Pelodiscus sinensis: one gene and its partner. The protein of the gene in region 1 interacts with the protein of each later gene in a pairwise test. Links are inferred from orthologs where the notes say so. Each region holds a gene or a part of one and is shown on either strand. Other genes may lie near its edges.

Region 1 (8,249 bases):
TATAAACGGTCGTGACGTTTCCTGGCTAGCCCACAAAAGCCTATTTAACCCATAAGGTCGCTGAAATTCTGTATATTTGCAATGAAAAATAGCAGAACCTTGTTGTGTTTTTAAATTTAACCTTGAATGCTGGTGCCTGAGGAAAGGCAAGATTAATTAGAGGAGGATGAGGTCAGTAGAGATTCTGAAGGGGACTTGTGAGCATTCCCCAAACGCCCTTCCTCCCTTCCCCACGGGCTCTGTGCAGCTACTGCAGACAGCCCTATCCTTACCAGGAGGCAGCAAGAGGCACAAGAATGGGCCAGAGAACACTGGAGGAGCAGGGGGCAACTGTCCAGACAGTAGTTAGAGAGAAGAGGCGGTTTTCCCTTCAAATGCCACTGCTCTCCAGCCACTATCTACGTAACCGCCCCCTAGTCCTCCAGCCACCCCTTCACCTGTGCCTCTCACCTGCTCCCCTGAGGCTGCAGGTGAGCTTTTGTTTGTAGTTATGGATGTTCAGAAGTCAGATGTTTGAAACACGGGGAGTGCCAGTATTACGAATTCATATGTAACCAAGTTTACTTTTTGGGTGTGGAGCACAAATAAAGACAGGACATACGGCATACCTCAGAGTAAGCAGGAGGTGCATCGGTATATGGTGGTGCCTGAGGAAGAGGCATGGTCTGTGGGTACACAGAAGGATTACCAGGAGGTTGCACTGGGTAGGATGGCTGCGTCGGATATTGACCTAAGAGGCAGAAGAGAATTTGGCCAGCGTTAACGGAGCTGCCATTATGGAAATGGGACAGAAGATGAGCTGATGGAAAGCCCCCTCCTTTATAGATCCTTGATAGATTCATTGAAATTGCCTCTTGTTATGTACAAATATTGGCTGAGTGCACAAGAAGGAAGGTACAAAATAAAGTCCACTCGGTACGCGTAGTCTGATTGGAACTAAAAGCAAAAACTAATTTCTGTACTGTTAAAATCCTTTAAAAGAACTAGGCCACTATGAAAAACAAACACCTTCATGTGCAGAGCTGCTGACAAACCACCCTATTTAGAATTAGGCATTTCTCTGCTCAGACTTGCAAGTCACAAAGTTTTGACTCTGTGCCACAGAACTACGCCAACTACTGGGACATCAACAATACTAGACCCTTTATCATTTGAAGTTCTTGATAGGCTGTCACACGTGCTATTTTCAAAGAGCATATGTTAATGAACTTAATGTTTTACAACTTAACATGGTTAATCTGTGTACCGAGAGAGAGAGAGAACAAAAGGGATATCATAGATTGCAGCAAGAAATAAATATAGTCCCCCAAATAAGAGCAGATCTTTTCCCTAACCCAAGCTCTCCCCCACACACACACACACACTATTCTTTCTTACCCATTTATTAATTTATGCAAAAGATTACATTGCATTAAAATGGCATGCATCTTAACGCATCAAGAATAAGTAACTGTAGGGTGATAGAAATGTAGCCGTTAGTCTGGTGTAGCTGAAACAGAAAACAGGACTATGTAGCACTTTAAAGACTAACAAGATGGTTTATTAGGTGATGAGCTTTTGTGGGCCAGATACAATTTTAATTGTATCCTTTGGTATATATGGTTGTGACAATTTTCTTCCACTATTTGATCTGAGGAAGTGGGTCTGGCCCGTGAAAGCTCATCACCTAATAAACCATCTTGTTAGTCTTTAAAGTGATACATAGTCCTGTTTTTTGTTTTAACTGTATGGTAGCATTGCTCTTCAAGTCAAGGCCAATAAGAAGCCCTGCTTAACATCTTGGTAAAATTCTGAAGTGATCTATTAATCCTTACTGCAGCTGGCTCTACAGTCAGTTTCTCTCATCAGGCCACTATCGTGTTTAAAATAAATAATTTCTATGTGTTTTTTCAGCTGCTCTGAACATAGCCAGCAATAGCAAGGAGGCGTTGCTTTAATGTGTCACCATCCAGGAGGTGATGCTTTCATGTGTCACTGTCAGGTCAAAGCTGTGTTCTTGTAAAGCTCTACCAAACCAAAGGCCAATATCAATGTTTCTATGATCAGTACAGATTCAAAACACAGCCTTGAACAAAAAAAAGGAGTGGAGGGGAACACAGTGATCTTGCAGGGTAAACTTGAATTCTAGTCATGCTTTTATAAGAGGCTCATTGCCATGAACATGAGAGCACCCAAAACTAGAGGGAGCCACTGCCCCGAGGAAAATTAAGAGAAAAGAAGCAGCTTTGCTGATCGCAAGTGACCAAGATTCCTGAAGTGATTAAAAGATCTTAATACCTCTCGAAAGGCCGGCAGCTCATACTACCCAAGGCAAATAATAAACACAATCAACGGGAGTTGTACAAATGTGTATTAACCCCTCAAGCACAGCTCCTCAATGTCACAGACCCCACCACTACCCTGATGGCCTCCTCCACGACTATCACTCCCCTCTCCAAGGTGCTGCTGGGGCATAGCGCAATCCTGCAGACAGAGCAGCTCTCTTACGGGAAACAGGCGAGGGAGAGACCCCGTGACACAGTTTAGGGATTCTCAGCAAATCCAGGTTCACGCACTGAACGGCTGCATTAACTGTTACGTACAAGCCTCCCAAGAATGCCTGGGGCTCCCTGTTTCTTCAAGGCAACAAGGAGTCACCACCCTCACCCTCTTGCCCCACCATTCCCTTGTGCCCTTCTAGCTGCCTTATCGTGACCCATGACAACAGTCTCCTGCAGCTACACGCGCTGCTACAAGCATCCCCCCTTCCCCCCAAAAACCCACCCCCACCTGCAGAACTACTGCCCCCAAGGAGCTGACTCCTCCCCTATGCAGTGACCCCTTCCCCTGCCTCCCCCATAGGGATGACCCCTCCACGCACCCCTTCCCCTCCTCCCTGTGAAGTTGACCCCTTATTCCATGGGGCTGACCCCTCTCCCACGGCACAGACCCCTTCCTCACACCCCACCCCTGTCTCCCCCAAGAGGCTAACCCCTCACCATAGGGCTGAGCCCTCCCCCCCCACAAGGCTGCCCCCCCTCCCCCAAGAGGCTGACCCCTTGCTATGGGGCTGACCCCTCGCCCTTCCCCCCCCCAAGGCTGACCCCTTGCTATGGGGCTGACCCCTCGCCCTTCCCCCCCCAAGGCTGACCCCCTGCTATGGGGCTGACCCCTCGCCCTTCCCCCCCCAAGGCTGACCCCTTGCTATGGGGCTGACCCCTCGCCCCTCCCCCCCCAAGGCTGACCCCTTGCTATGGGGCTGACCCCTCGCCCTTCCCCCCCCCCAAGGCTGACCCCTTGCTATGGGGCTGACCCCTCGCCCCTCCCCCCCCAAGGCTGACCCCTTGCTATGGGGCTGACCCCTCCCCCCCCACAAGGCTGACCCCTTGCTATGGGGCTGACCCCTCCCCCCCAAGGCTGACCCCTCCCTATGGGGCTGACCCCTCCCCCCCCACAAGGCTGACCCCTCGCTACGGGGCTGACCCCTCCCCCACAAGGCTGACCCCTCGCTACGGGGCTGACCCCTTCCCCCCCCCCCCCACAAGGCTGACCCCTCGCTACGGGGCTGACCCCTCCCCCCCCTCTTGCCTTTTCCGTTCATGGCTCGCTCGGGCGGTGGCTCCGCTCGCTCCGCGCACTTCCTTGTTATTGTCACTGCGGCGCTGCGACGGGTGGGGGGAGGGGCGGCCGACGTCGGCGTGTGCGCGGCGTCCTGACGTCACGGCGCGAGGGGAGAGGTCATGGGGGCGTGGCCTACGCGGGCGAGCGGGGTTGCGTAATGCTCGCCCCGCCCCCCCCGTTCCAAACGGCGAGTCCCGCCCCCACCTGGGGAGCGGGCTGCTTGTCCCGGGCCTGGAGGGGGAGGGGGAGCGGGGGGGCTGCTTGTCCCGGGCCGGGGGGGGAGGGGGAGCGGGGGGGCTGCTTGTCCCGGGCCTGGAGGGGAGGGGGAGCGGGGGGGGCTGCTTGTCCCGGGCCGGGGGGGGAGGGGGAGCGGGGGGGGGCTGCTTGTCCCGGGCCTGGAGGGGAGGGGGAGCGGGGGGGGCTGCTTGTCCCGGGCCTGGGGGGGAGGGGGAGCGGGGGGGCTGCTTGTCCCGGGCCTGGAGGGGAGGGGGAGCGGGGGGGGCTGCTTGTCCCGGGCCTGGAGGGGAGGGGGAGCGGGGGGGGCTGCTTGTCCCGGGCCTGGGGGGGAGGGGGAGCGGGGGGGCTGCTTGTCCCGGGCCTGGAGGGGAGGGGGAGCGGGGGGGGCTGCTTGTCCCGGGCCTGGAGGGGAGGGGGAGCGGGGGCTGCTTGTCCCGGGCCTGGAGGGGAGGGGGAGCGGGGGGGGCTGCTTGTCCCGGGCCGGGGGGGGAGGGGGAGCGGGGGGGCTGCTTGTCCCGGGCCTGGAGGGGAGGGAGAGCGGGGGGGCTGCTTGTCCCGGGCCTGGGGGGGAGGGGGAGCGGGGGGGCTGCTTGTCCCGGGCCTGGAGGGGAGGGAGAGCGGGGGGGGCTGCTTGTCCCGGGCCTGGGGGGGAGGGGGAGCGGGGGGGCTGCTTGTCCCGGGCCTGGGGGGGAGGGGGAGCGGGGGGGCTGCTTGTCCCGGGCCTGGGGGGGAGGGGGAGCGGGGGGGGCTGCTTGTCCCGGGCCTGGAGGGGAGGGAGAGCGGGGGGGGCTGCTTGTCCCGGGCCTGGGGGGGAGGGGGAGCGGGGGGGCTGCTTGTCCCGGGCCTGGAGGGGAGGGAGAGCGGGGGGGGCTGCTTGTCCCGGGCCTGGAGGGGAGGGAGAGCGGGGGGCTGCTTGTCCCGGGCCTGGGGGGGAGGGGGAGCGGGGGGGCTGCTTGTCCCGGGCCTGGAGGGGAGGGAGAGCGGGGGGGGCTGCTTGTCCCGGGCCTGGGGGGGAGGGGGAGCGGGGGGGCTGCTTGTCCCGGGCCTGGGGGGCAGGGGGAGCGGGGGGGGCTGCTTGTCCCGGGCCTGGGGGGGAGGGGGAGCGGGGGGGGCTGCTTGTCCCGGGCCTGGGGGGGAGGGGGAGCGGGGGGGCTGCTTGTCCCGGGCCTGGGGGAGGGGGGAGCGGGGGGGGCTGCTTGTCCCGGGCCTGGGGGGGGGAGGGGGAGCGGGGGGGGGCTGCTTGTCCCGGGCCTGGAGGGGAGGGGGAGCGGGGGGGGCTGCTTGTCCCGGGCCTGGAGGGGAGGGGGAGCGGGGGGGGGCTGCTTGTCCCGGGCCTGGAGGGGAGGGGGAGCGGGGGGGGGCTGCTTGTCCCGGGCCTGGAGGGGAGGGGGAGCGGGGGGGGCTGCTTGTCCCGGGCCTGGAGGGGAGGGGGAGCGGGGGGGGGCTGCTTGTCCCGGGCCTGGAGGGGAGGGGGAGCGGGGGGGGGCTGCTTGTCCCGGGCCTGGAGGGGAGGGGGAGCGGGGGGGGCTGCTTGTCCCGGGCCTGGAGGGGAGGGGCAGCGGGGGGCTGCTTTGGCTGCGCTGCGTTTCCCTGACAGGTATTGGTTTGGGGGGGGAGCCACCTCTCCTTCCAGCCAAGGAGACCAGACGCTCTTCCTTCTCCCTCTGTGAGCACCAACATGCGGGTAGATGTTTGATAACAGAGGGCTCTTTAATCAAGCAGACAAAAGCATAACGAGCGCCCCTGGCTAGAAACTGAAACTGGGCCTCTTCAGGCCACCAGTAAAGCACACACATGAAACAGGGTAATTTACCATTGGAGTAACTTCCCAAAGGAAGTCACAGCGGGGTAGCTGTGTTAGTCTGTAACTTTAAAAGCAACAGCTGTCCTGTGGCATCTTAGAGACTAAGAAAAATATACAGTATCATAAGCTTTTTGTGGGTGAAACCCACTTCCTCAGATGAGCTGGAGTGGCAATAACAGAATCGAAGATATATATAACAGCAAAAGAAGCACCGGTCAATTGTAGGACCTGGGTTAATTAAGCTAATTAAGTGGGCTGCCTGTGTCCCATTTATATCTTTTGATGTGACAATGGGGATGTTAAAGGCAGGGGAGATGGGCTTTCTAGTGCATTAATCATGTTTTTATTCAAGCCCAGGCTAACAATGTCATATTTGTAGATGAATTCCAGTTCTACAGTGTCTCTCTGTAATTGGCTGGTGCAATTTCTTTGTAGAATAATGGCTATTTTTAAATCCATGATTGAGTGACCAGATAGGTTAAAATGTTCCCCTACAGGTTATTGTGTGTTACCATTGCTGATGTCTGATTTGTGTGGAGGCAGATTCTCCATCTCTTGAAGTCTTTCAAGACAGGATGACTTTAAAAATAGACTGTAGCTCAGCCACTAGATACAGGCTTGTTGCAAGACTCACTGACTAATGCTCTCTCAAGTAGCAAAGAGCTGTAAACAGTCAGTTGAGCTAACTTGGGGGGGGGGATCCATGTAATCTTCCTTTTTTGTTTTTTCTCCCTTCTGAATCGGACATAGAAAAGGCAAGCGTTTCTAAGTTCATACATAAAAGATCAATGGAAATAGCTGATAACCTCCAAATATTTTTACATTTAATTAAGCCTTAAGGCGAGTTAAATTTCACCAAGCAGTGGATTGTGTTCATTAGCACCAGCTAATGCTTTATTAGTTATTTTGGCCCGAGCTTTAGGATATGTTAGTTATTTTAAAACATATCCTCTTTGGTGTTAAAACAGGAAGTTGGTGTCTGTACTATTCCCCAGACTCCTGTTTCATACCCTCATGGGACTCGCTCAGGAATGGTGACCCCACCTCGTGCATGCCCCTTCTTTACAAGGTGATTGCGGAACCAAGGGCTGGAACCAGCTTGCGTCCATGTGATCTCACACGGGCAAATTCAAGATAATTAATTATTGGAACAACTCGCGTAGAGACAGGGTAGTTTCTACATCCTTTGCCGTTTTTGTCAAGATTGGATGTCTTGCTCAGTGATCTGCTATTGCTAAAACAGAATGAATGAGCCTGATGCAGAAATTCTTGGGTAAGGTTCTTTGCCCTGAGGAGTTCAGACTGGATTATCAAAATGCTTCTTTCTGGCTTTACAGTCGATGGAATCCAGAGTGGTTTTGAGAGTAAGTATCCCATGTAAGCCATGGGTTAGGCAAGTGGCTAGTCAAAATGTCCATTTGATGGAATTTGTTCATTTATTCTTTTAAAAACAACAAGGAATTATGGTACCTTAAAGATTAACCGATTTATTTGGGCATAAGCTTCCATAGGTCAAAACCAATTTGTCTGCTGCAGGGAGTAGTAATCACAGAGGTAGGAATATATAATTCTAGCATATAAAAAGGGGAGTTACTTTACGGCTGTGTCTAGACTGGCAAGTTTTTCCGGAAAATCATCTGCTTTTCCGGAAAAACTTGCCAACTGTCTACACTGGCCGCTTGAATTTCCAGAAAAGCACTGACGATCTCATGTAAAATCATCAGTGCTTTTCCGGAAAAACTATGCTGCTCCCGTTTGGGCAAATGTCTTTTTCCAAAAGACTTTTGCGCAAAAGGGCCAGAGTAGACAGCATAGTACTGTTTTCCGCAAAAAAGCCCCGATCGCGAAAAAGGCGATCTGGGCTTTTTTGCGGAAAACCGCGTCTAGATTGGCCACGGACGCTTTTCTGCAAAAAGTGCTTTTGTGGAAAAGCACCCTGCCAATCTAGACGTGCTTTTCCAAAAATGCTTTTAACGGAAAAGTTTTCCGTTAAAAGCATTTTCAGAAATTCATGCCAGTGTAGACGTAGCCTCCAAGTGGAGGACCACTGTTATCAAGGCCAGTTCAGTCCCACTATGTTTTCCAGGTACAGACTAACGTGGCTATTCCTCTGACATTTATTCTTTGTAACTTGTCCATATGGCATCTCGCACAGTGGGGAGCTGTAATATAAATAATAAACAATCAAATGATTCAGAAGAGAACAGTTCCTTTCAAATGGTCCCAGATAACTACAGCTGTTTCATAAGGCAGTCGCTTGCAACCAGGGGTGCATGTACCACTGGGGGTATGTAGAGGTCTTCCAGGGGATTCATCAGCTCATCTAGATATTTGCCTATTTGCATAAAAAGCCCCAGAAAAGTCTGTACAAACTAAAATTTCATAAATGACTTGTTTATACTGCTGTATCTACTACAGACTGAAATACGAGTACAATATTTATATTATGTTCCAATTGATGTATAAATAGAAGGTAAAAATTAGAAGCTATTTTTCAGTAACAGTGTGGCTCTTGTACTTGGATTTTTATGACTGATATTGGAAGCAAGTAGTTTTTAAGTGAGGGGAAGCTTGCGGGTTTGCAAGACTTCTGAAAGGGATAGAGTGG
Region 2 (7,329 bases), on another chromosome or scaffold:
TGGGTTTCTACTATTGTAGTTTAGAAGCTATTTACAAAGGGAGTCAGGTCAATTGTTTTAGCCATTGACACAAGTCATGTCTGTGTGCAGTGAGCATGAGTTAAATGTATTTTGTTAATGAAGTAACAGTACTTGCTGTTGACACTTTCCAGTGACCTGTTGGTAAGGCTGAAACATCCTCAGCCTATAGTTACAGGTAATACCTCACATTTCTGAAAAACAACGAACTGAATAGCTATGTTTGAGTTTATGTATTTTATGCACTGCTATAAGGTTAAACATGTTTGGACAGCCTATTTTCAACAGCCCACACCACTTGATGCAGCTAACACTGGCTCAGCTCTGAAGAAAAAGGAAGAGTTTTACAGAAAACTATGGCTGGCAGTAGTGGGCAAGTTTAGGCAGAAAGATTCTATCCCACCATTCTTTTGCTTAAAGCTAAAGCCCATTATTTACTACTGCGATATTAACCCTTCTAATGAAGTGTAGAACTATTCAAATATATGTATGGAAACCTATAGCAGCATTAGTTCTTCTTAGAAAGCTAGTATTTCCCTTGAGCCAGTTTTCATGTGTGCAAAGAAAACCTAGAGCCAGTTTGTGCGCATTTGTTACCCTACATTGAGTGGGCTGATCATCTCATTTGATTAACAAAAAATGCACTGAATACATTCTCTAATGCCAAATGGTTGATGCAGTTTATAGAAGAGGGGAAAAACTGACTGCAATACCATTGCCATTAAGAAAACCATTATAAACAGCAGGACTTACACTAATGCGGTTTGAAAAAGGCCAAGTGAGCAACAGCACTAGCTATAGCAGAGGGGCATGTTCCTTTCTTTAGAGTAGGCTTTAAGTTTTACTAAGCAGAGAGGCATAACTGAGAATGCCTACTATGAAAAGGGGACCAGAACCTCCTTTCCTGTCTCAAATGTATTGGAATTAGTATATCAATGAATTTTCCCCATTATAATTAAGTTGAGGATTTCATTACTTTGTATATTCTGATCTAAAAAGTAAACTCAAGACCAGAATTAGTACCTAAGCCTCCACATACCACTCCATGGAACACAATCAGATTAAAACTGGTAATTGGGTAAGTACTGCATAGTTTCACAAAGACCATATAATGTGCAACAAAAACCTTTATTAGCATACACTGTTCAGCATTTACTGAAACTTGCAGTTAACTTACAATATTAAGACATTGACGGGCTACAGTGCAAAACAAATGCTATTGGCAATCTTGTAAAGGAAGAGCCACAATAACTTAACAGCCACCTCTCAGACGCAGCACAAGATGGAGGGTGGACTCCTTCTGGATGTTGTAGTCAGACAGGGTGCGGCCATCCTCCAGCTGCTTGCCAGCAAAGATCAGCCTCTGCTGGTCAGGGGGGATGCCTTCTTTGTCCTGGATCTTGGCTTTCACATTCTCAATAGTGTCACTGGGTTCAACCTCTAGGGTGATGGTCTTGCCAGTCAGGGTCTTCACAAAGATCTGCATACCACCTCTCAGACGCAGCACAAGATGGAGGGTGGACTCCTTCTGGATGTTGTAGTCAGACAGGGTGCGGCCATCTTCCAGCTGCTTGCCGGCAAAGATCAGCCTCTGCTGGTCAGGAGGGATGCCTTCTTTGTCCTGGATCTTGGCTTTCACGTTCTCAATGGTGTCACTGGGTTCAACCTCTAGGGTGATGGTCTTGCCAGTCAGGGTCTTCACAAAGATCTGCATACCACCTCTCAGACGCAGCACAAGATGGAGGGTGGACTCCTTCTGGATGTTGTAGTCAGACAGGGTGCGGCCATCTTCCAGCTGCTTGCCAGCAAAGATCAGTCTCTGCTGGTCAGGGGGGATGCCTTCTTTGTCCTGGATCTTGGCTTTCACGTTCTCAATGGTGTCACTGGGCTCCACCTCTAGGGTGATGGTCTTGCCAGTCAGGGTCTTCACAAAGATCTGCATACCACCTCTCAGACGCAGCACAAGATGGAGGGTGGACTCCTTCTGGATGTTGTAGTCAGACAGGGTGCGGCCATCTTCCAGCTGCTTGCCGGCAAAGATCAGCCTCTGCTGGTCAGGAGGGATGCCTTCTTTGTCCTGGATCTTGGCTTTCACGTTCTCAATGGTGTCACTGGGTTCAACCTCCAGGGTGATGGTCTTGCCAGTCAGGGTCTTCACAAAGATCTGCATACCACCTCTCAGACGCAGCACAAGATGGAGGGTGGACTCCTTCTGGATGTTGTAGTCAGACAGGGTGCGGCCATCTTCCAGCTGCTTGCCAGCAAAGATCAGTCTCTGCTGGTCAGGGGGGATGCCTTCTTTGTCCTGGATCTTGGCTTTCACGTTCTCAATGGTGTCACTGGGCTCCACCTCTAGGGTGATGGTCTTGCCAGTCAGGGTCTTCACAAAGATCTGCATACCACCTCTCAGACGCAGCACAAGATGGAGGGTGGACTCCTTCTGGATGTTGTAGTCAGACAGGGTGCGGCCATCTTCCAGCTGCTTGCCAGCAAAGATCAGCCTCTGCTGGTCAGGGGGGATGCCTTCTTTGTCCTGGATCTTGGCTTTCACATTCTCAATGGTGTCACTGGGCTCCACCTCTAGGGTGATAGTCTTGCCAGTCAGGGTCTTCACAAAGATCTGCATGGTGAACTGTACAAAGAACGAGAAAAATGTTCAGCTTCCCATAATGATCAACTTGCTACAAAACAGGACAAAAACCCAGACCCCAAAAGCTTCCCACTAACACTGCAGTACAAAAAGTGACTCAAGATATGCCAGTAAAGAAAGTCTTGGAAATATTTTGGAGACACAAATCTCCCAGTCCTGTTTCCTGGAGTCTCAACACCAAGATGGTGCTGGCTTAAAGCACAACATCTCCTGCCCACAAAGGGAGTCTGAGCTGAGCAAGATCGAGCCTGGACCCAAATGCTCCCTCCCCCGCCCCCACCAGGGAACTAAGCGCGAGGCTTATAATGGGGGAGGGGAAGAAAAAAAACCGCGCGGCCATCTTCCCACCCCCACTCTCTGGGACTTTTACCGTCCCGGCCGCCCCGCACCCCCACGGCGGCTCGGCCCCATCCCCCTCTGCGCGACGGGCGCCGCTTACGGCATGTGGGGGCCACCCCGTTTCCCGCCCAGTCACAATGCGCGCCCGTGACTCGCGCCCTTCTCTTCCGGGAAGGCGAGCGAATGGCGCCGCGCAGCCCCCGCCATCTTAGGCCGGGGCCCCTCGCGCCCAACCGCCTTCCCCACACAGAGCAGGGCCGAGTTAATACCCCGCCGCGCGCGCAGGCCGCTCTCCGCGCCACTGTCCTCATCGCCCTCCCGCTCACATCCTGCCGAGGTGCCCCCCAGCGCCTACCGTTAGCCCGGACGCTCGTCTAGAAAACCGAAAAAATTTGCTTCACAAAGGCTGACTTTACCCCGCTACTACGAAACCGCACTGCTACAGGGTGTCTCCGCCCGCTCCTATTTATGGGACGGGTGACGCAGTCGACGCACGCAGTCACGCCCCGCTAGTATCAGTGCGCTGCAGAAAATAGTTCCCAGCGGTGGGCCTGCATCCAGGGGAAATAGGGGTCCTTCCTCCTCCCGGAACCTTTTTGGACGTCTCAAAGCTACGCCCTGTCCCCTTCTCGGCCAAATCCACCGCTCTCCCTCCGAATAACCGAAGTCTCCGAGGCGCGGAGGGATTTTTGCCACGGTGAGAAGGCTGCCAGACCGCTCTGGAAGCTTCGCAACCCCTGAGGACGGTAGGCGGGGTTCTGGCACTGATCGACACTGATTGGGTGCGGAGGGGGCGAGACTGGTCGTTGATTGGCTCCCAGAGGAGTCTAGGGAGAAAGCTCTGGAAGAGCCGGGGGGGAAGGGGCGAGCGGTGCTGGCCGCTGATTGGCGCGGGGTGAGGTAAGCCTTGTTGCTAAGGGGCGCGACTCGGTGGAGCAGATTTCGGGAGCGGCGCTGCCGCAGTGGGGGAGGGGCCTGGTCTCTCAGGCGGGAACCGTCTCATGCGGGGGGAGGGGGACTCCACAAGGGAGGCCAACGGCTCTGGGAGGGAGGGATGGCTACAGTGCCCCCAGCAGCCAGGTTGGGGAAGCCCCCCTCCTGCCTGGACCAGCGGCCATTCGTGCCAGGGCGAAGAGCATCCAGCCTCTTGCAGGGCCGGCTTCGCGGGGGGCTGTGCCTGGCGCCATTTGAACCGGGCGCCGCCACCCGACGGGCCGTGGGCAACCGAGGCGCGTGAGCAGGCGGCAGGAGCGGCTCGTCCTCTCAGGGGCCGCAAGACTGTCGCAAGCGAGGCGGCCTCCCGCGAGAGGGTAGTTTTGCCAACTGTGCCTGTGTCCCTGGAGTTGGCGGGATGAGCCGACGGACCCGTCGCAGCGCTTCGACCGGACGCACGCGGCTCTCACAATGGCCCGTGCCGTCGGCGCGCACCGCACCGCCCGTGGCCTTGCGCCACGTGCCTGGCACTGTAGTAATACCAGTCGGAGAAAAACCACACGGACGGAAACCAGCAGAATCTCTGTGCTTGGCAACAGTCTTGCGGGCCACGCAGAGGACCCCAGTGGGCTTCATGTAGCCCCTGCTGACCGCTGCCATAGACTGACATTTCAGACGGGAAGCTGTGTTAGTCTGTAACTGGAAAAAAACTTTAAAAAACAACAAATAGTCTCACAGTACCTTAGAGACTAAAAAAAAAAATGTGGATGGTGTCGTGAGCTTTTTGTGGTCACAATCCTTTGCTTAAGATGAATGGAGTTAAATGGTCCAGGTTGCAAATTTGAAAGCCTGGACCCCGTAACTCCATTCATCTGAAGAAGTGGGTTGTGCCCACAAAAGCTCATGACACCATCTATGTGTTTTGTTAGTCTCGCAAGGTGCTGTGGGACTATTTGTTGTTTTTTAAGATTTTTCATAGACTGAAATGAGAGTGGGGAATTCATGGGTCTGTACTCAGCTAAACTTCACTGGTGCAACTTTTGCACCTCACCTAAGCTTGTACTTCTCAACAGTGAGGAGTCTTGGACTTGATCTATTGTTGTCTTGCACCTAGTGTAGTCAGGCCAGCACAAAGTGAGTGTGAAAAGTCATCGTATGTATGAGGCTTTATCTATGCTATACAATTCAGTATAACTACACTGCTAAAGGGTGCAATGTAGTTATACCGACTTTAACATACACATATGCTCCAATGTAGACAGCACTGTGTAGATGGGAGAACTCCCATGACATAGTTACTACCACATCTCACAGAAATGGAATTACTAAGCTGATAGGACAGCTCTCACATTTGCTTACAGCAGGGCTCTCAAACTCCTGGCCTGAGGATCATCTACAGATCAGAGCGTATTCACAGTCCGGCTTGGGAGACCTGTGGCCCAGAGGGCCATGTCTGAACCTGTCCCCCAAGGCCTGCTCCTTTCCATCACTGACTCTCCCTCTATCTCCCCTCCCCCATGGTATCCCATCCTCTGAGAGACCCAGCTTTGAGGATTATTGAGGGGACCTAGTGTGGGGGGCAGCAGCGGCAACAGGAATGATAAGGAAGCAGAGCAAGTGTGCCTGCTGAAGAGTTGGAGCTTCGGGGATGGGCTCAGAATGCCCCTTGGGCCGTCCGGACTCCCAAACAGAATTACATACAGGAGGCCCCCAACTTGTGACGTGATTGATTCCAGGGGAAGTGTCGCAAGTCGGGGATGTCATAACGCGAACCTTCATTTACGATAGGTGCCATGCGCCTGTCGTAAATGTGAGCCGAGGACGTAAGTCGGGGGTTTCCAGCCTCTTCTGCACTTACAAAAATTGTTGTAAGTGCGGGGGGTCGGAACTTGGGTGGTTGCAAGTCGGGAGCCTCCTGTATATGCTTCGGCCCATAGATGGCCCGTGGGCTGGGAGTTTGAGACCCCTGGCTTAGCGCATCTTCACCAGATGTGCTACAGTGGCACAGCTGCTAATGTGTAGTAGAAATATGCCGTAAGAATGGTAATGTTTTGCACTCGTGTTTTAAGCACGTGGGTTAAGTCCATTTATTCATATCTGAATACTGGTGACATAACAGAATTTTCACAAGCCTCCTCAATCCACCACTGATTTTGTACGCTCAGTAGCTAATCTCTCAGTGATTTACCACACACTATCTGTCCATCTTGCAGGTCTTCCCTGACTATCATGATCCACCATCATTACTTCCATTAAAACTTGTTTGGGGTTACTTTTATTACTATGCCTAATGTGACCAAAGTACATTAGTTTGTGCCTTTTGAATTCAGGGAGCACAGTCTGTTGCTTTACATAATGATTCTTGGCATTCTCCAGTAGTGTAAATTATTACACATAGTGCAGGGCATGGGTGGATCAGGCCCTTTGTGTCAGAAACATGTTCCCTGCTGGGTTCCCCCAGCGTTTTTTATCGGTCTGTAATTCTTTAGGCACACTTTTCTGTATACCTGGAAAATAAATATTTCTTGGATAAATTCTCTATCATCTGTTTGTTAGTGCTTGTGTGTTTCCAGAGTCCATAACAATTGTCAAGTTTACTCTAAATTTCACTGGGGAAAGGGGAAAATCTTTATTGAAAATTATGGTAAAATGCTACAGTACTAACTGTACTGTCCTGGAATATTCTGTGTTACTACTTCTATGTATGTTGCAATTGTGAAAACAAAGGCAGGCCAGGAACAGTACAGGCTTATTAGAAGAGTGGAGAAATTTCATTATTTAGAACTTGGTCAGTTGAGTAACTGCATGTCCATGTGTCATACTTAGGATTCATGTTTTTCTAATCACATTAACTTCAGTTTCCTGGACTACTTTTCTTCTAAATGTAAAGCATATTGCCAAACTTTATTTTGTTACTGGGGTGTTGTGAAACAGCATAGTTATTAAGCGCTGCAATCAGAAACTCAACCTAGTATTTACCAGAGTTTTTAATAGAAAGTTCTGGTGAGGTCATGTAATAACTTCCTCATGTAAACTGACAGGGAATTGTTGCAAATACTAGTGGAGCTTCATTTGATCCTTGAACCAAGGTTATACAAGGGCTTTGCTAGATCCAAAAAATTTGTCACATGGTAGAATTCAGCTTACTGCTAGTTCTTCCTGTGGACCTGAATGAACTTGTGGTTCAATAAAAAAAGAGAACTGATACTTTTTCTCACTCAAACACAAGCTGGAATCTGTACAAAATTATACATTTAATATCTTTTTTTCTCTGATTAATACACATTTGGTTTTCTTTAACATAGCAAGTTTGCTCCTGCTGGGAGCACCTTCCCAGTTTACAATGAAAGGAAATGAAGCCATCCAGAATAAAAATACAATTAAAAAAC

What was found. The genes of interacting proteins can lie anywhere in the genome.
Region 2: the proteins of DAZAP2 (region 1) and UBC interact in binary tests that used the Homo sapiens proteins (3 or more experiments, as listed by UniProt). The two-hybrid records come from large-scale screens. The link is inferred for Pelodiscus sinensis from reciprocal best matches to the Homo sapiens genes DAZAP2 and UBC.

Annotation. Positions count from the first base shown.
Region 1 is NC_134729.1:2,041,113-2,049,361, forward strand, and holds the start of DAZAP2 (DAZ-associated protein 2), read right to left. Parts: upstream 3,694-8,249; 5' UTR 3,581-3,693; coding exon 3,568-3,580; intron 731-3,567; coding exon 609-730; intron 1-608. UniProt on the Homo sapiens protein: In unstressed cells, promotes SIAH1-mediated polyubiquitination and degradation of the serine/threonine-protein kinase HIPK2, probably by acting as a loading factor that potentiates complex formation between HIPK2 and ubiquitin ligase SIAH1.
Region 2 is NC_134731.1:3,489,122-3,496,450, reverse strand, and holds UBC (polyubiquitin-C), read right to left. Parts: upstream 3,522-7,329; 5' UTR 3,363-3,521; intron 2,651-3,362; 5' UTR 2,645-2,650; coding exon 1,271-2,644; 3' UTR 1,128-1,270; downstream 1-1,127.